2 linked regions of the Coturnix japonica genome follow. The protein of the gene in region 2 binds, or shares a complex with, the protein of the main gene of each other region. Links are inferred from orthologs where the notes say so. Each region holds a gene or a part of one and is shown on either strand. Other genes may lie near its edges. The genes, in order: CASP9 and APAF1.

Region 1 (12,342 bases), on a different chromosome or scaffold from region 2:
GGCTCGATGTGGATGCAGCTGAAGCACCAATCCGAGGTGATTTTAATGAGGTACGGCTTCTTGAAACTATCTGGCACGATTTCATTGATGTAATGTGAAAAATGGAGCAAATACTTCTCGTCTGAGGTGTCACGTCTCTCTGAATTGAAGGGGAAGTGGAAGAAGGACTCATCAAAGTAGAAACCCTCATGGAAGTGGTGGAACTGGCGCTGCTGGTGTTGGGAATAGCCTTGGCTCTCTCCGGCATCTCCGTAGCGATCAAAGTTTGCTCTTTTTTCCTCGTTGGAGAGAATCTAGGAAGGAAATGAGTGAAGAAAGGTAACCCAGTGCAAAGAGTGAAAGGGTGACAGTGGTTATCCCTTAAGGAATGGATGTGGGAATACAAACCCACTGCAATCACAGAATCACAGAACTGTAGGGGTTGGAAGGGACCTCTAGAGATCATCGAGTCCAACCCCCCTGCCAAAGCAGGTTCCCTACACCACATCACACAGCTCGGCGTCCAGGCGGGTCTTGAATATCTCCAGAGAAGGAGATTCCAATGCCCTTGGGATGAATGCAGTAAGTACCAGCATCCAACCTGCACCATCCTATTGCTGTCACCTGTGAGCAGAGGCCAACCCCAGCTCACCACATCCTCTATTCAGGGGTTATAGGGAGCAATGAGCTCTACCCTGAGCCTCCCCTTCCCCATCCTAATACACCCCAGCTCCCACAGCAATGCCCTCATCCCCCTCCCAGCCCCCTGCAGTGCCCTCTCACCTCGTAGGCCTTGCTGATCTGGATGAACTTATCCTCAGCTCCCGGGTCCTTGTTCTTGTCCGGGTGCCTGCAGTTGGAAGGTGGAGCCGTTACCCATTGCCGTACCCCCCCACACCCCCCAGCCCGGCCCGCTCCGTACCACTGCCGTGCCAACCGCTTGTACGCCTTCTTAATGTCGGCCTGGCTGGAGGAGCGGCCCACACCCAGCACTCGGTACGGATCCCGCTCCGGTGCGGCCTGTGCCGTGATCAGCAGCAATAACAGCACCAACATCCCGGCCGGGCCCACCCGGCCCAGCTCCATGGCGGGCACCGGCCCCGGCCTCAACCCCACACCCAGCACATCCGGCCCGCCCGCCCGCCGACACCATAGCGACGCTTCCGCCTCCGGTGGCGGCCATGGAGGAGGCCCGGCGGAGCGCACTGCGGCGGGGTCGGCTGCGGCTGGTGGAGGGACTGCGGCCTGACGTGCTATGGGGGCCTCTGCGGGAACGAGGGGTGTTCACCAGCGCGATGGTGGAGGACATGCAGGTGGGCTGGGGGTACCGAGGCCTCTCGGGTCGGTGGTGGGGCCTTGTGTCCCCTCAGAACCTCTCGTCCCCTCAGTGACGGGGTTTGGGGTATCAGCTCATTTACAGGCCCAAGGGTGTCCCCTGCCCCCACAAGGCCTTTGTCAGGCTTTGAAAGGACCCGTGTGCCCCCAATCCCAAACCTTGAGGGATCCAGCATCATCTCAGCCCTGTGACAGCACCTGGGGGGTCCCTGTGTCCCTATTACCTGTAATACCTAGTCCCTGTATTACCTCAGCCTGGTGACAGAACCCCAGTGTCATATGTATCCCATGGAGTCCTGTGTCCCCACTATACCCATGACATGGCCCAGGGTACCCTATGAGGAGAGACTTAGGGAACTGGGTCTGTTTAGCCTTGAGAAAAGAAGGCTGAGAGTGGACTTGATTCAGGTTTATAAATACCTGAGGTGTGGGAGCCATAGTGGTGAGGCTGGTCTCTTTTCAGTAATGAGTGGGGACAGGACTAGGGGTAATGGGATGAAATACAGCATAGGAAGTTCCTTAATAAGAACTTCTTTACAGTGAGGGTGACGGAGCACTGGAACAGGCTGCACAGGGAGGTGGTGGAGTCTCCTTCTCTGGAGATATTTAAGACCCGCCTGGATGCCAAGCTGTGTGATGTGGTGTAGGGAGCCTGCTTTGGCAGGGGGGTTGGACTCCATGATCTCTAGAGCTCCCTTCCAACCCCTACAATTCTGTGATTCTGTGATACCCCTGTCTCCTCCACTGTCCATCTGCCTGGTGCCCTTCCCTTTGTTTCCACCTCCGTGATACTGTTAAACTGATTGAGAAGGTTTCTCTTATCCCCATGTTGATAAGCTGGGTGTATCCCCTGGTCCACTTATCCCCCAGAACCAGCAGTTCACGTTCCCTCCTGTCTCTATCTGTGGCCAATGCTGCAGTGGAAGCATCAGAGCTGAAGGGCTCAGGGAGCATCACTGAGGTTTATCCTGCCTTCCTTCCTCTGCAGAGCGCCGGCACCCGAAGGGAACAAGCACGACAGCTGGTCATTGACCTGGAGAGCCGTGGGAAGCAGGCCTTCCCTATATTCCTCTCCATCCTGAGGGACACCGGGCACGGTGACCTGGCTGACATGCTGGATGAGGGGTGCGGAAGCCCCATGTCCCCACCTGTGGATCTGAGGCCTGTGCAGCTGGAGCTGCCTGGAGAAAGGCGTGACAAAAGTAAGTAGTGAGAACGTGGTTCTTTGCATGGTGGAGTGTAGTAGCTGGGTTCCTTCTTGCTGTAGAAAGTAGGCTGTGAAGTCCTGGTTTTGTTATCCTCTGGCACAGGTCATAGTGGTGACTGTGTGACTTTGTTAGGAGGATGTTGTGCTTTCTGGTAGCAGAAGTGTTGAAGCCCCAGTTGTGCACTGGCGGCTTCCTTCTGCTTTTCACATGTAGCCTTTGTACTGCTGCACTGCAAACAGGTTTCAGTGTGGCTTTGCTACTCCTGTTCTGCCCTTTATCTGTTGGCGTGGCTCATACAGCTGTCATAAGAAACCTCACTGAACTCAGATAAAAGAAAAACAGAAGTGGTTTTGATCTGCCCTTGCAGTGGTGTAGCTGCAAGCTGTGGTCCTTAAGGGGAACAAGAGCTGCTTAATTCCAATGTAAAACTAGAAGGGGCAGAAGGAGAGAGATGACTTTCCCATGCCATTACAGGTGTGAGAACTACGGAATACTTGTCCATCCCAGTCCAAGCTGAGAGTGAGAGATTTCGGATGCCTCCAGCACCAGCCCAGGGTAAGGGTTGTCCTGCAGCCCTGAGTGAGGTCTGACAGCTCGTTGGTCAGTTCCTTGCTTGTCCTTGCACTGTGAATTGCAGACCAGTTCAGATGCATGCTAGCTGGGAGGTGACCCCAACTAAATAGTGTATGGTGTCCCAGGTGGGGATGAGCGTGTGCTTGAGGTCCAGGCTCTAACTGCTGAGACTCTTTGTGGTTTAAGAGATAAGAGCCAAATGCTGCTTCTGGTGGGTGATGGGGTGAGAAGGGGTGGGTGTCACTCACGTGTGACAGATGACAGGGCAAGGTTGATGTTAGTTCTGCGAAGAATAGGTGTAACATTTCATTGTTGAGTGCTGAGAGCTAAATCCCATTTCTCTGTGGTGTGTTGTAGGTTCAGCTGTTGACAAGAGCGACCACAGACTGGTTAGTATTCTAAATCCTCTTCTTTTCCAGTTTATTTGTCATAGTATTGGGGTTCTTTGCTGCCAGTCATTTCAGAGATTCTGCTTGCAAGGAGCTTGTGCTTTAAGAACTGAAAAGGCAGAGCAAGGCTGAAGATATTTAAGTGTTCACCCTCACGAGGCAAAGAACAGAATGTCCAAAATAAGGTCTTAGTGTGGCTTAAACTTCTTCTTAGACTGAAGAAGTCCCACAGCACAGAGCTGCTGCAGCTGGGAACAGTGCTGTGACATCCAGTCCTTGGTGCTGGGGCTGACGTGGCTGTAACCAGGGCAGTGTGCTCAGAGTGGGTCAATCCATTAGTCAGCTCCTCCTTGGGATCACACGAACCGTGCTGCAAATAACATGACATGGAGCTAAATATGGTGCTTAAGCACTTTCAAGTAAGACAGCTAGTGATTTCCTCAGGCACCAAGTCGTGTGTTGTTTATCAAGTGGTGTTTTGACTTTGTAATCACTGTGTTGGGTAACAGAAGTAGGGAAAGCAACAGTAAACATGTGCTGCAGCTTTTGCACGTTAGGAGGCTCACAGTGAAGCAGGCATTGAGCATTCAGAAACGTGTGTGCTGCCATCCTGACAGCACAGCTCGTACCTGAGGCAGGGTAGGGTGAGTGGCTGTGTTCACATGGCTGGGGTTTGGAGGGCCCTCCCAGAATTAACGTGTTGGAGTTGATGCTAAATCTGACGTATGCGTCCCACCGCACTAGATGGTGAATGCTCTGTGTTAGGAGGTGTTCAGTTGGGACTGATGAGCTCCCCTTGTTGCATGCCAGGTGTACCAGCTGCGAGCAGACCCTTGTGGGCACTGCCTGATCTTCAACAACGTCAGCTTCAGCCCAGACTCCAATCTGTCACCTCGGGCTGGCTCTGACATAGACTGTGAGAAGCTGGAGAAGCGTTTCAGGTCCTTGTGCTTCAATGTCCAGACCCTGAGGAACCTCAAAGCTCAGGTGAGGGTGGCAGGAGGAGGACCTGGTACTCCTTGAGCTGAACTGTGATTCCTTGATGTGATGCATAGGGATGATGTGAGTCTTACTCTGTGCCAATGGGTTTTGTGGTCTGTATGTGGGATGCCTGATATTGTATTTTTACTAGGCAGAAAGCAGCAGAGATCCAACTGGGTCTGACGGCAGGGCTTGGCTGTAATCTGTGGCCAGTGTGCAGTTTAAAACATGATGTTTTTTATGTAGGAAATTGATCTGGAGCTGCGGAAGCTGGCACGGCTCGACCACAGTGCCCTGGACTGCTGCCTTGTGGTCATCCTCTCCCATGGCTGCCAGGTGGGTTTGTGCTCCTCTGACATCATGGGGAATTCTTATCCTGTATCTGGGTGAAAGCAGACACAGGGTTCTCTGCTGCAATGCCTTTCCAGGGGTTGGTGGCCTTTGGTCAATCGTTGTTAGCTTTTGAATGTGGGATCTGTACCTCAGAACCAAGTGGTGTGCAAAGAGCAGAAGGAGGTGGTGCTGACCTTCATACTGTAGGACTTGAGTGCTTCCTGATTCTCTGGCTCTGCCTGAGGAGTCGTTAGCCACGACTAAGACTAATGATTACGAGATTTTGGCCTTGAGGTTGGAGGAGAAGAGATAAATCGTTCTAAAAGGGTTGTATGTTGTGTGCCCCTTGTCCTGGAGGATAAAGAATCCCGTTACTGGAGGAGGTGGAACAGGAGTTGGATCTTATTGAGAGGTTGGATTCTTGGATATTGCAGTGTCTGCTGGGAACCCCTTTGCCCTGCTGCAGTGTGCATATACAAGTATGAGGAAGTGAGATTTGATCTGGAAGCTTTATGCTAGAAAGTGATGGGAGAGAGAGAGAACACTCGTGCAGAGCTGGGTTCCCTCTGAGCTCGTCTTTCCTTCTGTGTTAACAGCTCTTGGATTTTCCTCTTCCAGACAAGCCATATTCAGTTTCCTGGAGGGATTTATGGAACAGATGGCAAAACCATTCCAATTGAAAAGATTGTGAACTATTTCAATGGGTCCCAGTGCCCGAGTTTGAGAGGAAAACCCAAACTCTTCTTCATCCAGGCCTGTGGAGGAGGTGAATCTTTGTGTTGCCAATAAGCTGTTAGGTGTGAGCAGGCTGGTTAGAACACAGTTAGGCTTTGCCTTCTTCCTTTTGTGTCTGTTGCCCTTTTATCCAGGTGTCTTGTAGCATTCCCAACCACATATTCTTACTGCTAACATGGGTTGAGTTTCAGGAGCATCTTGCAGGAGGGCAGCACGGGTGGTTTCGTTGTGCAGAGTGGGGGATGTGAGGTGGGAGGAGGGCAGTAGTGGCCCCACATCCAGGAGCATTTCACCTGTTCCTTGTGTTTAGCAATGGTTTGGGTTGGAAGGAACCTCTAGATGTTGGTTGGGAGGGCTTGGTTAGTGGGGAGCCTGATGGCTCTGACTGTAGCAGCACCATCAGAGAGCAGAAAAGCGTGGCCTTTGTTGAAGGACTTTTTCCCCTACAGTTGTTAATAGAGGATGTATGGCTGCAGAGAGTGTCAGATGTGAGTGAGAGCTTCTCTTGCAGAACAAAAGGACCAAGGATTCGAGGTGGATTTTGAATCACCCCGAGATGAAACCTGCCAAGGTTCCATAGAGTCGGATGCGATTCCTTTCCAGGCTCCATCAGGGAGTGTGGATGAGCTGGATGCTGTCGCCAGTTTGCCCACTCCTGGTGACATCTTGGTGTCCTACTCAACTTTTCCAGGTGAGATAACTGCACCAGGCAAACGTTTTACACAGGTAATTGATGCTAAACATGCTTGGCCAACACACCACCAAGCTGCTGTGCCACCAGTAGTCAGTGTCTGCTACTAAATCTAGGGGCAACCACCTTTTGGAGACAGTGTGAGATGCAGACACAGCAAGACTGTCTGCAAGAGTAATTTTCTCCTTTCTCTGAAGGTTTTGTGTCCTGGAGGGACAGGGTGAGTGGCTCATGGTATGTGGAAACCCTGGACAGCGTGCTGGAATGTTATGCCAGTTCTGAAGACCTGCTAACCATGTTAGTTCGGGTAAATGTCTTTTTTTTTCTTCATAAACCTTATTTTTTTTGTAGTGTTAGAAAGCAAGGAAGGCAATAATCAGAGGTGCCATCTGTCAGGGTAGGCAGGCAGTTTGTAAAGGGTTGTGATACTGAGCACGCAGCACACCTTCTGTTCCTAGGTATCAGACATCGTGTCCACCAAGGGGAAGTACAAGCAGATCCCGGGCTGTTTCAACTTCCTACGTAAGAAGTTCTTCTTCCTGTGCAAATGATGCTGGGGGTGTCGAGGTCCCCATCAACGTGAGGATTGTTTCCCTGTGGCTGGATGGAAGCTGTCCCTGCTGTGACTTGAACCAGCTGCTCCTGGTGGCTGTGGAGGGGTCTGTCCTGAGAAATGCAAGCTGTGAGTGCTGTCACTGGGCTGAAGTAGCCATAAGATGAGGACTGGCCTTGTCCCAACCTGCAGGGACAATCTATTGTAGGGAACATGCTTTAGCAGGTGGGTTGGGCTTGATGCTCTCCAGAGGTGCCTGACCAACCCCTATGATTCTGTCCCAGTGATAGGAAAGGGGAAGGGATGTGTGTTGGAATCCCCATTGCCAGAGTGTGCCGGCCCAGTGATCCCATTGTGGAGTGAGGGCCTCCCGCTGTGCTGTGGCTTTGCTCTCCTTCCTGGTGCGACTGCAGCGGATTGGAGGAGTCAGTGGAATTAATTGATGGAATTAATTGATGGAATCAATGGAAATAGCTGATTTGTGCAACAAGAGATTTTTCTGTTTGATTGAAACAAAAATCAAAAGGAAAAAACCAAATTCAAACCCTTTTGTTTTGTACTCAGTCTTCTGTTCTCTCTCGTGTCCTTTTTCAGTATATACATATTGTTAGCTCTAAAACAGCCTTGTTGCATTGTCACTATGACCTTCATGTATGCAGTACCCCATATATAGAGCTATAGAATATAGATGGAAAACACCTTTGGGCATTCAAACTAGAAAGTTAGGACACGTTTTAATGTTTATTGGCTGTAGATGTGGCACTGAGGGACGTGGAGGGGGTGGGTTAGGGTTGGGCTTGGTAATCTAGGAAGGACATCCCAGGTTCTGTACAGTTATTCAGCACTTTGGCTGCTAGCTGGTTTCCCTTTGGAAGGTGTTATTTGTGAGTTAGTCAGTGAATGATGTTTATGCAACTGCTGTTTTTCTAATACGCGGAGCAGTAAATGTTTCTGTCAGTCTTGTCAATAGCACAAATGCCTGTCCTGTCCTTCACCCGAATTGCAGCCCACATTGCTGGCGCACTGTAAATTAAAGAGTCTTTCCAATGTAGGAAAGATTAAAGAAATACAGAGTGTGGGCTCAGAGCCCCGGGGGCTCATCCCACTCCAGTGGAAGGGCCCTGGCTCCGCCACGTGCCCCCCCTTATGCCCCACAAATAACCACAGGGGCACACGATGCCAGTTGTTTCCCTTTATTGCACACCACGATACGTGACCTGCTCTGCTCATCCTCAGTTCTCATTGATTTTCTGCCAAAGACAAAGGGGTGAGACAGTGGTCAGACCTGCACGTGGAGAAGGACGGGGAGAACCCAACCCCAGAGCTCTGCTCTTACCTCGTTGATCCAATCGATGTAGGCAGACACCCGTGTGAACACTGTTGGTTTCTTGGCTGTGTTGCAGCCCCAGGAGGAGCCAAAGCTGACGATGCCGTGCACCTCCCACAGGCCATTGCGTTGGCAGCTCAGGGGGCCGCCCGAATCCCCCTGCCCAGACAGTGTTACATCCATACACCCCACAGCTCCCCATCTCCATCCTTCCAACCCCACCACAGCCATTGGGGATGGCCAGCAGCCCCATCACTCACGTTGCATCCCGCGACGACGCCGTCACCGCCAGCACACACCATGGAGGTCCTCACCAGGCCGCCCCACCAGTCGCTTTGTGAGCAGGTCTCGTGGTCCACCACGGGCAGCCGAGCCTGCTGCAGGACCTCCGCCAGCGGCCCATTAGCTGCAATGACAGCCTCAAGTTGCACCAATAACCAATTCTGACCCCATTCAGTTCCCTCTGTGGTCACCCTGCTTACTCGAGAGGCGTCCCCAGCCAGTGATCTCGCAAGGGTAGCCGTTCTCCAGCTCCAGCCCATTGGGTGGCAGGCAGGCAGCCTGGATGGTGTCACTCCTTTGCACTGGCTGCGACAACTTGATCAATGCGATGTCATTGCTGCAATGACAAAACCCTATAGGACACAGCCAGCCAAACCTTATAGAGCACCAACAATCAAACCCCATGGAGTGCCACCAACCATATCCTTTAGAGTCACTGCCATCCAAACCCAATGGAGAGCCACCAACCTAAGACTGTAGAGAACCACCAACCAAACCCCATAGAGAGCCACCAACCAAATCTTATAGAACACTGCCAACCATCCCCATCCCTGCCCCCCACCCCTCTCCCTGCCCCCTTTGCTGCCCTACATGATGAGGAAGGAGTTCCACTTCTCGTGCACGATGATCTTCTCCACCTCGGCCACCACCGCGCCGTCGTCCTCCACTTCCAGGTTGTGCTCGCCCAGCACCACGCGGTACGTCAGGGAGGAGCTGCCAATGGCCATCAGTGTGGGGCACACATATGGGGTGCTGTCCCCCCATGGGTTGCCCCCAACCCTACCTGATACAGTGTGCGGCCGTCAGCACCCAACTGGGGGCAATGAGGGTCCCTCCACAGGTGTGGCTCCAGGCACCATTACGGCTGTACTGCAGTGAGATCTGGACGGCCACACGGTGTCACGACGTGGTGGCCACCCGTCCCCAATGCCACCAACATTGGGATGGACCCCACATGGCACATAGACCCCCCTGACCTACCTGCCATGGCCAGCTGTGAGCACGGGCGTCCTCACCACCCACCACACGAGCTAACAGAGGTGGCACCGCTGGCTGCCCACATCCATAGGCTGTGTGACACCCAGCATGGGGACATCAGCATGGGCACAGCCCCCAGCCCCACCAACACCCCCCTCTCCGTGCCCTCACCCACCGTAGCCCAGCAGGACGGCGAGACACACAGCCCCCAGCATGGTTATAGGCTCCTCAATGTGGCAGAACCAAAGAGCCCGCTGTCTTATATGTTGGTTGTGCCACCTCCTGCCCTTGGGCACGTGGCCTTCCCCTTGGTGACAGGTGGCCAAATCCCACAGCCTGTGTGCCCTCCTTGTGCTGTTTCTTATCAGAGCAGCACAGCCCACTTGGGAACAGATACACTTGTCCCATGTACAACCCCACAGATGTGGCCCTGACCGTGTTTCCAGCCATGAAGGGACATGGGGGTCCCACTTTGCCACCCCACCTGGGTACGGGTGAGCACAACACTTCCTTAGGAAATATAATATTTATTTGGGATTTAAAAAGAAAGAAAAAGAAAACGACACAGCGAACAACACATCCATACAGCAGAATGGAAGCAGCTGTTGGGACAACACCTCGGTGGGACATCACAGTCATCGGCACAACCACTCCAGGAGGGACAGCACATCAGATACCATCCCTTGGGGTGCTTAGAGGACGGGACACACAAGAAATAAAGCTTCTCTCCCCTCGGTGGCCTTTATGGGCATCTTTCACCATGATAAACCCAAGGGGAGCCAAGGCCACCTCCAACCCAACACATTGGGCGCCTGCCTGCTCCGTGGCACCGAGCACAGTGACTGCTGCCCCCGGCTTGGCACGAGTCGTGGGCACGATGACACGCAGGGGACGGGTGATGGCGTGGTGGGGCTCCTTCCTCATGCCACAGTCACTGAGCAAACGCTGACTGCAGCTCCTTGAAGGCCGCCTTGCGCTGCTTCATCTCCTCCGCCTGCCGCCTCTTCTCCTCCTGCTCTGCACGGATCTCCTCCTCAAAGCTGCTGCCCTTGGTGACCGCCTGTGCCTGGGGATGGTGGCACGTTGTCACCCCATTGTGTGCTGTATGGTGGCACGTTGGCCATGTCCCCACCGCCCGACGGTCACTGCTGTGCCACCCAGCACTTACCTTGGCCTCGAAGAAGCTCTTGGCTCCCTTCACGCCCTCTGTTGAGACGTCGATCTCGGAGAGCCGTGCCAGAGCGTGCAGCCCGCTGTCCTCCTGCAGCTCACCCGCTGCTGCCTTGCGGAATATCAGCAGGAACTGCAGCATGGGGTGGGATATCACCATCCAGGATGTGCCATCCAGCTCCTCACCAAAGGATGAAGCCACAACCCAACCCCTGCGCTCACCTCGCGGAAGCTCAGCTTGCTGTCCAGGTCCTCATCCACCTCCTTGATCATGTTCTTCAGGCCCAGGTGGGTCTGTGGCGCTCCCAGCTTCTCCATCATCAGTTTCAGCTCCATCAGGTCAATGAAACCATCCTTCCCTGCATCGTACCTGTAAGGAGGTGGTAAATCCTCAACACAGGGCACATCCTCACTGTCACTTTGGGCTGCTGTGCCAAACCACAGCTGGTTCTATCCAACCATTAATGGTTCCCAGGAGCATCCTCAGCACTCCCTGCCCATTGAATGTGGTTTCTGGCACTGATACCCAGCAGCTTGCTGCCAAACATGCCGCCAACTCCGTACAGCAAAGGGGTCAGCCCTATATGTGCCTATAGGGCTGAGCCAGGCTCTATATGATGCACTTTTGACTTCTCCTTGCTCAGGCTGCAGGAAGCGACGTGCAGCTCTGCGGGGCTGTGACTCATTTGTCCCCGCAGCCGCAGCACGGTGCAGCTCACACTGTGCCCCAGCACAGAACCCTCGTGCTTTTCCTGCTGGCATCGTAATGCTGTGAGCTCCGCTGCTGCAAAGTGAGCCCCTGGCTGCAGCTCTGCATCCACTGGGGTGGGCTCTCCTGCGTCGCAATCCTTTAATGCAGCAGGGGAAGGCAGGAGAGAGGACAAACCTTGCACGCAGCGGCTTGGTTCAGCCCCACACCATCACCCCATCCCCATGCTCCCCCCTTTGCGACCCCCCTTTTGCTTGCAGCCCTGCAGCTGCTGTGCTGCTCCTCTCGCTGCTGTGCGTGCGTGTGTGCACGTCCTGCTCTGCAGCCAGACCCCGTGCTGCTGCCATCTGCCCACGGGCACAGCACCCACGGCCACACGCTTCACAGTGTGTCAGGCTGGGGGGAGAGGGGTTTATCCCCTCCATCTGCAGACCCTATTTTCCCCCTGCACAGTTACTGCTGCTCAGCTCCCCCCCATCTGGCTGAGCTCACTAACCCAAGCTTGCAACATCACACGTGGGGATGGCACCGAGGACGTGACAACACCACTGCCGCAGCCCAAAGCCCGTATGCATGGCCAAGGTGGGGGTCCTGGGGCTGGGGGGGTCCCATGTCCCTTTTCCAGCCTGCTCTGTGGGTCCTGGTGTCCCCTCTGCAAGGCTGTGGGGAGGCTGCATCCAGGGGAACCCTTCTGAAAGAGTTCGTAGGGTGGGAGGATGGCTGCAAGGAGCCGAGAGGGGGTCCTGAGGTTCAGCTCTTGTGCAGAACTGGGTGAGACAAGGGGGGGATCCCATGGATTCCTTCCACAGGGAGCCAAGAGGGGGGTCCCGAGTGGAGCCCCCTGCAAGGAAATGGGGGAACCCACTGCATCTCCCCCTGCAGTGAAGTCCAAAGGACCCCTCCCACCATCAGCCCAGGGCTGGGCGGGTCCTGCAAAGGGACTGGGGGCTTCCAGAACCGCCCCCCTTTCCTCCCCCCCACCAGTGGCTGCAGGCTTCCCAAAGCACAGGGGATGCGATCGGGGCAATGGGGACCCTCTGTCCGGCGCTCCGTCCCCGGGGTCTCTCCTGTGGGTCCCGTGGGGGGGTTGGGGAGGGGG
Region 2 (11,715 bases):
TTTTCTAATTAAAGAAATTAAGAAGAATTCTACGTGATACACAGCCATTTATTTACCTTCACTGTTCCATCAAATGACCAGGAAAGAAGCTTTGAATTTTCTAGAAGTGCAAAGTCTTTGATTGCTTCCTCATGCCCTCTTAGAAACACGCACTCATTCAACTGCCAATTCCAGACCTAATAATAAAGATGGAATATATACGTGTACGAGAAAAATAACTTAAAAAGAATTAACTGTTTAATTTTAAACCTGTAGGAATGATAAAAAGTTTTTATGGAGATGGCAATTTATTAGAAGACACGGTAGTCAATCTCAGAGGTAGTTCACTTTAAAGCATTAACCACTGCAAAATGTGAAAGCAAAGCGCTTCCCAGAGTCTGATTTTTTATAAGTGAATTTGGTGCTTAAGCACTTGGCAGCCAAAAAAGTCAATAATACCCTGGGTTGCATTAGCACCATTAGCGAGTCAAGGGATGTGATTATTATGCTCTGCATTGGTGCAGCCTCACCTTAAGCATGTGTGCAGGTTAGCATATAAAACTATTAGAAAGTATCCAAAGGAGGGCAACACGGATGGTGAAGGGTCTACTGGGTAAGATAGATAAGGAACAACTGAAGTCGCTTGGTTTGTTTAGCCTGGAGAAAATGAGCCTACAGTTCCTTACTAAGGGAGCGGAGGGAAAGCATTTGTCTCTGTTCTTTATGACAGTGACAGGACCTAAGGGAACAGCACGGAGCTGTGTCAGGAGAGGGTCAGGTTAAGGATCAGGAAAAGGTTCTTAACCAGAAGTTGGCTGGGAATTGGCACAGGCTTCCCAGGGCAGTGGTCACGGCCCTGAGTTGTTCAAAGAGCAATGGACAATGCTCTCAGACACAAGGTTTGAATTTTGGCTGGTCCTTGTGTGGAGCCCAGAGCTGGACTCAATGATTCCCGTGGTTCCATCCAATCCATGATATTCTAGAATTCTATTAAATTTTGCATAATTCATATTTTAAATTTTTAGATTTTTATAAAAGTAAATATAAATATATAATTTAATTTATATTTTAAAGAGTATTTTTAAGGAAGTGTCATTTCAGTTGGTGTTTTCATGGCAAAATGATGGTATTTTAATCGAACCCTTCACCGAAAATTGAATAAATGTCATTTTATCTTACAGAATTTATTAAACTTCAATATAATTAAATGACAGTGATTTAACTGGTTTTCAAATAGGTTTTCTGCGTCAAAGAAAGAACAGTAATGAGGCAACTGCCGTGCAGTGAAAACTGAAGTACATACTAAAGTATAAATGACCAGGACATTCACTTCAAAGTGCATTCCTTGATGAGCTAAAATGCTACACACACAATGATGCTTCTCTACAGCCAATCAACCTTGCCAAGAAGGAGTGCTTATTAACTTGAGACTATGTCAGTGCAACCTTCTTGCAAGTATCTGTGTTCAGCTCTGTATTGGACTAGGTAGACACAGCAGCCCACTCAAGTGTTTCAGTTCTATTCCCTTACACAGTACAGACAAGTCCATAGCTGGCCAGTGCTGAATTGCATCCCAAACTCACATGATCAGGACTGTTGAGTTATTCTCAAAGAAAATTAGTATTTCTTTTCATCCATCTGAAAAGAGTTGGTTCTATCATGTACTGCATTAGAACTCCATAATATTCACTATTCTATGGAATATAAATAATGGCCTACAGATTCTACAGCCCCTTTTCTCCATCTGGTGCTTTAATTTGCTGCATCCCACTTGAGGACATCCAGACAAAAAACAGTAACTTCTTATTTACGGTTTCTTTGCAACAAGTTACTTGATATTGTAACACTTGCAAATTAGATAAATAGGATAGCAGAAATCAAAGCAGCAGTAGAATCAAGGATGCCAACTTACCCTAATGCAACATAAAATCAATTCAAAATGCATGGAACAAAGATGGTTCCATATTCAGGATATACAGTGGTCATTGACTGAGTTTACGTTAGGTATAATAGAAAAAATGTTTTTAACTTATTTTTACAAATAGGTACAATATGACCCTTTAAAATATCTTCCAAACCTGTATGACTGCATCATGAGCACTTGAAATCAGAGTCTGACAATCAGTGGTAAATCGACAATGCTGCACAGATGTCCTGTAGGCCTCCCGGGATGCCAGAAATCTCCCATCTAACAACTGCAGTACCTTTACAAAGAAAAATGCAGTAATTGAATTTATTTTACATATTTTAGGGAAAGGAAGTTCAAATTCTCAACACAAATTCTCTTTAAATACGAAGAGACTGTAAATACACCATTTTCAATCAATGGACTGAGTTTTGTGTCCAGTTCTGGGCTACCTGGTAAAAAAACGACAGGGATCTCCTGGAAAGAGTCCAGTGGAGGGCCACAAAGATGATAAAGGGCCTGGAGCATCTCCCCTATAAGGAAAGGCTGGGTGATCTGGGTCTGTCCAGCCTTGAGAAAGAAGACTCAAAGGAGATCTGATGAATGTCTATAAATATCTAAGGTGTGGGAGGCAAAGGGATGAGACTCTTTTCAGCAGTGTGTGGTGATAGAACAAGGGGAAATGGCCACAAACTGAAGCATAGGAAGTTCTGCACAAATGTGTCTAAGAACTTCTTCACAGTAATGGTGACGGCACACTGGAACAGGTTACTCAGGGAGGCTGTGGAGTCTCCTCTGGAGAGACACCTGCCTTGATGTCAAATTGTGCAACCTGGTCTAGGGAGGCCGCATTGCAGGGGTGCTGAACTCAATGAACTCTAGGGATCCCTTCCAGTTCCTATAATTCTGTCATTCTGTGATGGTGACAACAAATATCAGTCCTTGGTGAAATGAAATGCAAAACTGCATTGTAAGCATTACCTTTAAACTACCATCATTTCAGTGTCACTCAAACATAAAAATTTTTTAGTACCATACCAAAGAATATTATTGGAGAGAATAACTAAAATGACATTTCTTTAAAAAGAAAGGTTGATTCCTATTATTTTCAAGATCAAGCTTAGGATTTAATACCTTTATTGCTCCATTCTCCTGCCCAAATGCTGCAAATTTAAGATCTTCACTTAAGCAACAGCAGCAAATAAGGGATTCCTGAGGTTCTGTCTGCATGATAATGCTGTCTGTATTTCCATTAATGAGCTGCAAGATAGGAAATTAATTAACATAATATTTTAAAATTTGAACTGAAATAAAATAGAATAAAAAGCTAGGAACAGCAACAGAAGAGTTTGTCAGTTTCTAAACTTTTGTTTATCTAGACCAGATACTTTCACAAATCAGTTGCTTTAAAGGTCTGCGTAACTCCTGCTGTAGATCATTGTCTGAACAGGACAAGATTGCAGACAGAAACACAGCTCAGTCTCAGAAGGCTTTTAAAAGTTTGCATGATCAAATAAAACAGTAAGTCAACAAGTTATTCCTGAATTTCAAAAGCCATATAGTGAGTTCTGAGCTCAAAACTACTTGCCAGTGAGATACTTGTGCCAAATGGAGCGTAAGCATGACTTAAAGCTTAAAAGCAGGTATAGCCCACCAATCTCAACCAAGTGTTGTCCTTACACCAATTCTGATGAGATCTTTAGAATATAACGATTTACAAAAAATCTATAAGCTAAAAATATCTACCAGTGTGATGCATTTAAAATGATTGTAAAGCACATCAAAAGGTGACTAGGAATGCATTTCTGAGAGACTACAGATCACTAAAGGTTAAACATCACAGTCACAGGAGAAACTACCTTTAGAGATATGACAGCAGACACAGTTGAATTACTGTACACATGCTTAACTACAGTTTGACTCTTCAGTCAATTTCTCTTCATGAGCAAAGGTGAAAAATCTATTCTGTTATGAGGCAGAGCTCCTAGATTTAAAATCTTACAACATATTAAGAATCATCTGCTACAGATTCAACTGCTGAAAGTCACGAATAGGCAGTTATTTCAGTGCTTTGTTTCCTACTGAGATTTACATATAAATTCAAATATATTAACACATGGAGAAATATAGCTTACCTGAATATGTTTCTGATTGTAAATTGCTAAAATCATGACTTCACCATTGTGAAATACAACATCCAGTTCACTTTTTAGCACAGCATCAGAAGACTTGCACACCTTGTTTGTTTCCCAAATCTGTTGAAGAACAGTGTTCCATTAGTTTTAAAGGACAAGATATAAAACTTGCTGAGTACCTTTAAACCAAAGTCTTATAACCTAGCAAATAACCCCTATCTTAAAACAGTGCCCTTTTTATTTACTACAGAAAGTTGCGCAATTGCTATAGCAATTTCAACTGATGGAAAAAAATAATTCTTTTTCCAGGCTGCCAAGCAGACCTCTAAGTATTTGGCATCAGGACCATGAAGTCCACACTTTTCTGTTTCAAAGAAGAGTGTTAAAATTCTATTACAGTAAATGCCAAGTATAGATTTCTATACTTCAATTGCTTTCAAAATATCAAGAAAGTAAGTGTTAGCTTGGAGAGAAGGAAATGTTACTTTGGTACATTGTAGGTCTGTTTTCGTAGTTGTATCGTCTCATTAAAAACTATAAGAATCTGCCCTAAATATTAACATATTTATCTATTTATTATCTAACAGTGAAAGGCATATTAACTCTGCTAGTTTACAAAAGGACCATCAAAACTGTTCCCATTTTTAATTTAGATAAAATCTAAAAACTATCATTACTACTGAAATGCCACTGGATTTAAAAAATTATTTATCTATATCGTAAACCAAAAAAAATAGACAGTTCATTTTACTGTATAGAGAATTATTTTTGTATGTTTATATAATACAAAGCTAAATACTTATAACTGAAATGATAAATGCTTTATATTATTATATATGAATATTTAACTTTATAACAACAATTTAAACAAATAATTTAGCTTTATAAACACATATAAACAGTACCAGCTTTAAAAAAAAAAGTCATCTTACCCGTATTGTCTGGTCCTCAGAAGATGTCAGAAATAAAGATCCATCTGAGGAAAATGCCACACAGTGAACCCAGCTCATGTGTCCCCTGCAATCTGCTACTTTTGATAAGGATTTCATATTCCATAACTGCAGCAGAAATAGGAAAGAACTCAAGTGGATTTTGATTATATTTCAAGCAAAACTGAAAAGAAGCATACTTCATTACTACCTCTACTAGCATTTTCCTCACTTCTCACTCTACAACTGTCATGTAAAAAGAACTGTGCCTGTTGATGACAATTTGATGGTCAGTGACATGGAAACAGAAGCTTCTGACAACAATAAGTTTAAAAGATGTGGGAGGAATTACAAAAAAAACAACTCACACATTATGAAAATACAAGTGAGCTGACCAAGTAGGTTGCAAAAAGAGAAAACAAAGAAGAACAGAAAACCCAAATACTTGTACATGCTTAGTTAGTCATGATAGTCCCAAAGTTATTTCAGCTGTTGTATTCCTCTTTCATGAACTGCCACATCCTGCAGCAGCACACAGGAGAAGGTATTTTGTTTGCCTGTTTTGAGCTAGGTGATGGGAAGGCATATACTCTAGAGACTGACAATAATCACATGATAACTTTGAACACATACAGTGGCCTAGTGGTTTTATATAAAACCGAGTTCTGCTTTCTAAGAGGAATGCCTAATCTCAAAACACTATTTCCCAATTCCTATTTTACATCTTAGAAGTAAACAATAATTGTAAAGAATAAAGCACATTGAAAAGCTATTAAAAATGCCACTTTGTTTTACCTCTCCGTACACAAAACCACAACAAACATAACACTTTGTATTACTCTTTCCTGGTATATCGTAGCAATAAAGAAATCACTTACCTCAATAGAACAATGAGACAAAGCAACTGCTACTAACTCATCCCCAGCACAGAAGTCGCAATACTGGATTGTACTGTGATGACTTATGATGACTTGTGTTAACAGGTTACATGTTGTAACATCAAAAAGCTGTGAAAGTAATTATAATATTGAGCACAGGGCTGGAATGACTTCACCACAGACACAGTTTATATACTTAACAGTATACATTTTTTAATGTAGAAGGTATTTCTCTCATTCATCATGTTTATCATCTATATATTTTTTAATAAACATGCACTTAAAAACAAGCACTTTATGTCTGAAACATCTAGGTAGTTTATAATGCAGTAATTATTCATAAATTCTACCTAGATGGCAACATACTACACCTGTAGAGAATTATTAACATGAAATACTTACCAAAAGCTTATTTTTGGCTACCACCAGAATTGTATCACTACTTCTGGACCAAGAGCAACATTTTACTAAAACCTCCACTTCATCCTGGTGCTCATCTGCATTCCTGAAGAAATCTTTTATCTCAATAGTTTTCAGTTCATTTGCTGAACGCACATCCCAAAGCTTCAAGAAAAAAATAAAGGAAATACATGAAACTTCTCTTTACAGTTGAGTATACGGTTGGACTTGATAATCTTTGTGATAATCTTTGAGGTCTTTTCCAACCTGAGTAATTCTATGATTCTATACAGAATACAACAGGGGAGAACCACTTCCCAATTTCTTTTTAGGGAAGAAAGTGAGGAAAACAAGAAACAAGCAAGCCCAGATGGTTGTCTTAACTTCTACTTAAAAACAGACTAAAGGCAAAAATAACATCTCTGCAACTCTATTAAGTCCTCTCACAACAAGAAACCTGGTACACTGGATACAAGTTTGTACCCCTATTTCATTGAGGCAGCTGCCAGAGAGCTACTGAATATTTCTGTTTCCTCTACCAAAATTTTTCTTCTGAATGACAACAGATACTACAACCTCACTTTACTGACATAGCAGCCCCATGGAAAGGTATCAGCGTTTATGAATTGCAGTATTGAAATAGGTAGTTCTGTTGCAGTCAAAGGCAATAAAAAGCAATGCTTGTGTTCTAAGGACAAACATAACTACCTCAGTACACAAATATCTTTTATTGCTTATTCAATATCAGATGACAGACATTTTAACTATTCTAGGTTTTTTTTGGCTGTCGTTTTCATTATTATTTTTCTTTAAACAAATTTCAGAACACCTTCCACACCAGTTCTCTTAACTATATACTTTATTTTTATTACTATTAATAGTAGAATGCACTCAAAATGAGACTCAGTGGGATTGGTTTAAAATTGCAGCCACTCAATTCTTCTTCTGGAACTGGACAGAACTTCATCAAGCCTTGCATTAAGAGTGGGAACAATACTCAACTGCTTCAGAGTTTAATTCATGAAAACTGACCACACAAATACAAAATTATCTCACCCATATTTTGTATTTTATACCCCCAAAAAATCATCCAAACAGGCAGTTGATTTAAAAAAATAAGATGTGTACCTTCACTGTTCCATCTGTTGAGCAGCTAGCAATATAGTCATCATTTGGTGAAAATCTACAGTGACTGACGGCGTTTATATGACCAAACATTGTATTCCTACAATACTTCTCCTTCAGATCCCAAAGCTGCATGAGAAATAAATATGTAAATGTCATTAAATTCATAAATTATTCACAGACAGATTGTACATGTTCTTCACAAAATCACAGCGGCAACCAAATTCTCAAAAATGTTTCTTAGTTTTACCCACGTGCTCACAGACTTGAAGCTATGCCTGAGGTTCCCCCACAAATTACTTCCATATGCTAGTTTGCATGAAAATGATTCCCATGACTATTATATAACACTTTCTGTAAAGTGAATGCAAGAACCTCAAATAGCACAAAGTTACCAAAGGCTTCTTCAGAGTGAGGATTAAACTTTGTCTAGCCTCTTTCCTTCCTTTCAGTCTCAAAGTTCAGAATTACGTAGCTTGTACACAGTAACTAAAATGAAATCTCTTAACTCAGTGTTGGATTACTGTGTCCTCTCTAATAAAGATAAAAGAACAATTTGTGCGTTAGAGGCCACACACAGACACACGCACTTTCTAGGCCTACAGCACATACTGCCTTTTTGCTACCAAACCTTTCACTTGTCTGCTCAGGGAGAATTCAAAGCAGGAACAGTTACCTGAACAGTGTTCTCTTTAAAAAAAAGAAAAAAATAAATAGAAATCCAGCCTCTCTGATTTTTATTTTACTGTTCTTTTCTATTACTGGACATACTTGTGCTGTGAAATTCCACCCTTACCCACAGCCAGGTCTTCCTTTGTTCTTCCACTTCCTCTCCTTCCGCAGACACTTCACTTACATGGCTTCTGCTCTGAGTAGACATACTGCCTCATAGTCTGAGTACTGCCAGATTGCTGACCTGACAAATCTTTTGCTTTGATTTACTGTTATTCTGTTGGCACCTACTTTCATTTCTTTATTATGTCAAATCAATTTAATAAGAAAATATATCTGCTCCCCTTCCATTAGGTTATTTATTTATTCATTTCATCATTTGGCACCTATTTTTGTATTGTTTGTGGCTGTTGTTTGTTTGTTTTTATTTCTTTACGGTTTTTAATCAGGTATTCCATTCCCAGGCTCTCCCATTCCTATTCCCATCCTCTAGAAGTCTTCACCTTTGTGCTCAGCTAATAGGAAATATGCTGACTTTTCATCGCAAGTATAAATATTCCTCTTCCGTTCTGCCCTGTCAGTACTCTTGATCAGTTTCTGTCTCTCTTCCACTGGACTCATTATAAACCTTAATTTACAGAGTTTGAAGCATATTTCTACAACAGTAATTACTCTGTTTTGATTATTCCCATACTGCTTATCACAGCCTTTTCAACTTACTTTGATGTAAGTGTCATCTGAGCAGGTGGCTAAAAGATACTGACCCCTTCTGTTATTGAACTGGCAGCAATTGACCTGCTCTGTGTGTTCTTCATATACGTACAAACACTCGCCTGTTCTTGAATTCCAGATCTAAACAGAGTTGAAGGACAAAAATCAGCTTTAAATAAATTCAATGTACTTAATAAAAAATGAAATTTCTAAATCACGTTGGAATACAAATAAAGCCCTAAAAATGCTCTTAATAACACATAAAAATGCTTGAAGAGAAAGGGAAAACACATGTAGTTACATTTATTAACACACAGCTGTGATTTTAGATTGTTTTCACTAAAATAGCAGAGATGTAGATATACACATTTTTCAAAACAAGAACTGGAACCTGGCATCTACAGCCAAAGGTTCTTATAACAAGGTGTCTGCAACCAAATAAAACCAACTTGCTCTTGTCAAAATTCAGTTTCAGCCTACTATTAATTATAGAAAATTTCACAGATAATTTTGAACAATTTAAATATCAAATGGATGAGGAGGATCATAGTTTAGATCTGAGAAAGATTAGAATATCATCAAGATTTTTGGTGCAGTTCTGAAGAATTAAAAATAAAATGAAAAATAATATACAACAGAAAGCACTATATAAGAAAAACATTTATGGATACCTTCATTTTATGTTACACACAGGACTGGACTCATGTATTGTGTTTTACATAAAAAGAAACATCTGATAGTACAAGTAAAATAAGTTGTAATTGTGTATGCATGTTGTTAACATAAGTAAATGATGCTTAACATAACAAGTATGAGATCTTTTGTTTTTAAAGTAGTGAATTATCCACATAAGGTTTAAAACAGTTACTAAAAACCTTCTGTCCTAAGAATCTGCTCTGCCTGAGTTGGCTAAAACTGAAATCTGAATTATGATGATGCAAAACAAATAAGCAAAAAAGTCTCTTCTCCATTTACTTACCTTCACCTTTTTATCAGCTGAACAAGTTGCTACGTATTTATCATCTGCAGAAAAAGTGCAGCAAAGTATTTCATCATCATGAGCACTTATCTCCAGCAATCTCTCTCCACTTTCTGCTTTAAACACCTGAAAAAATACAATGAGGAATGAAATCTTTTAGCTGGCATACAACTTCAAAACATGCTACACAAATAAAGGATTGCTTTCTCTCAAAGAGCTCCCTTAGCTAAACTCTTCATAAAACTGCTTGCATTCTGAAAGCACGTATAATTTCAAGGAAAGTAATATGAAAACATTTAATTTGAACTTCAAATCTATAGAGATGATAGAAATTATTATGGAAAGAAATAGTGAAAACTAATTTAAAAAAAATCCGTATGCATTATGTGTTTTATTAATGACTATGTATAACCTTTGAGCCAAAAGCTAGGCCTTCTACCACATAAGACTTTTGTACTCCTTAAGACTAAATACATGTACTTTCTTACTCTACTTTAATAACTTCACCACACAATAGCTTATTAACAATATCTGCACTGTTATTAGAAGTACAAATTCCAGATTGATATATACGATATCCTTCTGTTGGATAAAGGATTTTAGCAGCAATTGATAATTAAGTAAAGGTGCTAGGAGTCTCTTTTGAGCTGGTTACAAGGCAGGAAAGGGTGGCAAGGAAGAAGCACTGCACATTAACCACTTTCCTTAAATTCTGGGGCTTATCTTAATGATGGTGAAAGGTACCTTTTCCAGCTCAAGGGTAAACAATCTTCAGCTGTTCTAACAAATCACAATTTGCTCTTTGCAGCAACATTCAAGATGCTACAGTCGTGAAATCCCTATTTTTCCGATCTTCTTTCATTAAATGGGATTAACAGTGATAATGAAATAGTTGGTATTTGTTCAAATAAAAGCGACAAAGCAAAAGGAAATCTACATCTACTGTAAATTCTGCAGAATATCTGCTCTTAATTTGGCAGTCATTTCTGCTTCTGGGTTAGTCTAAAATCTGAAGGCATTAGTTTTATTTTAATGTCACTGTTAGGAAAAACAAGATTAAGATCAAAGTTCAACAATGAAAAATGATTGTTAATTTTTGTATTATCTCTTCTAGCGTAGGCTCTGGGGAAAAAATAAAAAAATAAAATAAAATAAATAAAATAAAATAAAATCCCTTTTTTTGATAGAAAGTCAAGAGAAAAACAATGAATCAGCAGTCCCAATAATGAAGCCATGAAGTACAGAAGCCCAGCACAATAACTTCAGCACAGCCACCAAGCATCTCCTTAAGTGGGTGGATGCCATGACCATAACAGTGTAAAAGCCAGCAAATAAAAGAAAGTAGTAAGCACCACCACATTACACAGGCAAATGAACAGCAACTAAGGACCACTAATACTTTTACTTTAGCAAGCATCCAAAACAATACCAAAGGCTTGCAGAAAACTTGTTCTTTACCCTTACCTTTGGCTGTCTGGAATATGGATACTTTACCAGGTTAGTGGCTGGCTGATTGCTAGTTTTCCTGAGAGCTGTCTGGCTTCCCTCCAGGCAGACTGCTGGCAAATTTGTATTAGTCACTTCCTCTCTCTCTCCCCATATTCACTTCCTAACAACTGAATACCTTTTTCCAGTCTACCGCTGCCCTCAGCTTTCAGGACTCATTTTTCTGCCCAGATTTCTCTATTTTGCATGACAAAATTAACAAACATAGCGCCAAACATCCATTAAAACCCCATGGAAATTGTAAAGAACTAACAAACATGTCTCACTGTTTTTTAGTACTGTAGATGGGAAATACCATTTCTGCAAACAAATGTGAAACGTGGGACGCACTACTTAAACCTTATGCTTTTTTGTAACATTAAAAGGAATCTCATGTTCTCGTGTTCATAGCATGTTCTCATGCTATGGTATAATGATATAGTTATTGAACTACAAAACAATACTTTCGAGCCTAAAAGTGTTATGTAACACCCTTTCTATCTCTTGTCTCTTGAAT

Evidence for each region.
Region 1: the proteins of APAF1 (region 2) and CASP9 are in contact, whole or in part, in a crystal structure (PDB 4RHW), measured with the Homo sapiens proteins. The link is inferred for Coturnix japonica from reciprocal best matches to the Homo sapiens genes APAF1 and CASP9. Residues at the interface, in NP_863651.1 of Homo sapiens: Thr22, Ser23, Tyr24, Met26, Asp27, Ile30, Ser31, Ile37, Glu40, Glu41, Arg44; in NP_001220.2 of Homo sapiens: Asp23, Trp26, Asp27, Leu30, Arg36, Pro37, His38, Glu41, Gln44, Arg45.

What each region holds. Positions count from the first base shown.
Region 1 is NC_029536.1:4,283,380-4,295,721, forward strand, and holds CASP9 (caspase-9), read left to right. Parts: upstream 1-1,119; 5' UTR 1,120-1,160; coding exon 1,161-1,292; intron 1,293-2,302; coding exon 2,303-2,516; intron 2,517-2,996; coding exon 2,997-3,077; intron 3,078-3,452; coding exon 3,453-3,484; intron 3,485-4,294; coding exon 4,295-4,471; intron 4,472-4,711; coding exon 4,712-4,801; intron 4,802-5,416; coding exon 5,417-5,564; intron 5,565-6,044; coding exon 6,045-6,224; intron 6,225-6,421; coding exon 6,422-6,531; intron 6,532-6,682; coding exon 6,683-6,775; 3' UTR 6,776-7,746; downstream 7,747-12,342. Other genes in the region: DNAJC16 (dnaJ homolog subfamily C member 16), read right to left, coding at 1-293, 763-829, 902-1,065; EFHD2 (EF-hand domain-containing protein D2), read right to left, coding at 10,296-10,430, 10,533-10,667, 10,757-10,904. UniProt on the Homo sapiens protein: Involved in the activation cascade of caspases responsible for apoptosis execution. Binding of caspase-9 to Apaf-1 leads to activation of the protease which then cleaves and activates effector caspases caspase-3 (CASP3) or caspase-7 (CASP7).
Region 2 is NC_029516.1:42,521,158-42,532,872, reverse strand, and holds part of APAF1 (apoptotic protease-activating factor 1), read right to left. Parts: intron 11,270-11,715; coding exon of another isoform or gene 11,204-11,269; exon of another isoform or gene 11,178-11,203; intron 9,840-11,177; coding exon 9,714-9,839; intron 8,876-9,713; coding exon 8,744-8,875; intron 7,481-8,743; coding exon 7,355-7,480; intron 6,392-7,354; coding exon 6,230-6,391; intron 5,957-6,229; coding exon 5,828-5,956; intron 5,079-5,827; coding exon 4,953-5,078; intron 4,141-4,952; coding exon 4,021-4,140; intron 3,146-4,020; coding exon 3,020-3,145; intron 2,184-3,019; coding exon 2,058-2,183; intron 177-2,057; coding exon 57-176; intron 1-56. UniProt on the Homo sapiens protein: Oligomeric Apaf-1 mediates the cytochrome c-dependent autocatalytic activation of pro-caspase-9 (Apaf-3), leading to the activation of caspase-3 and apoptosis. This activation requires ATP. Isoform 6 is less effective in inducing apoptosis.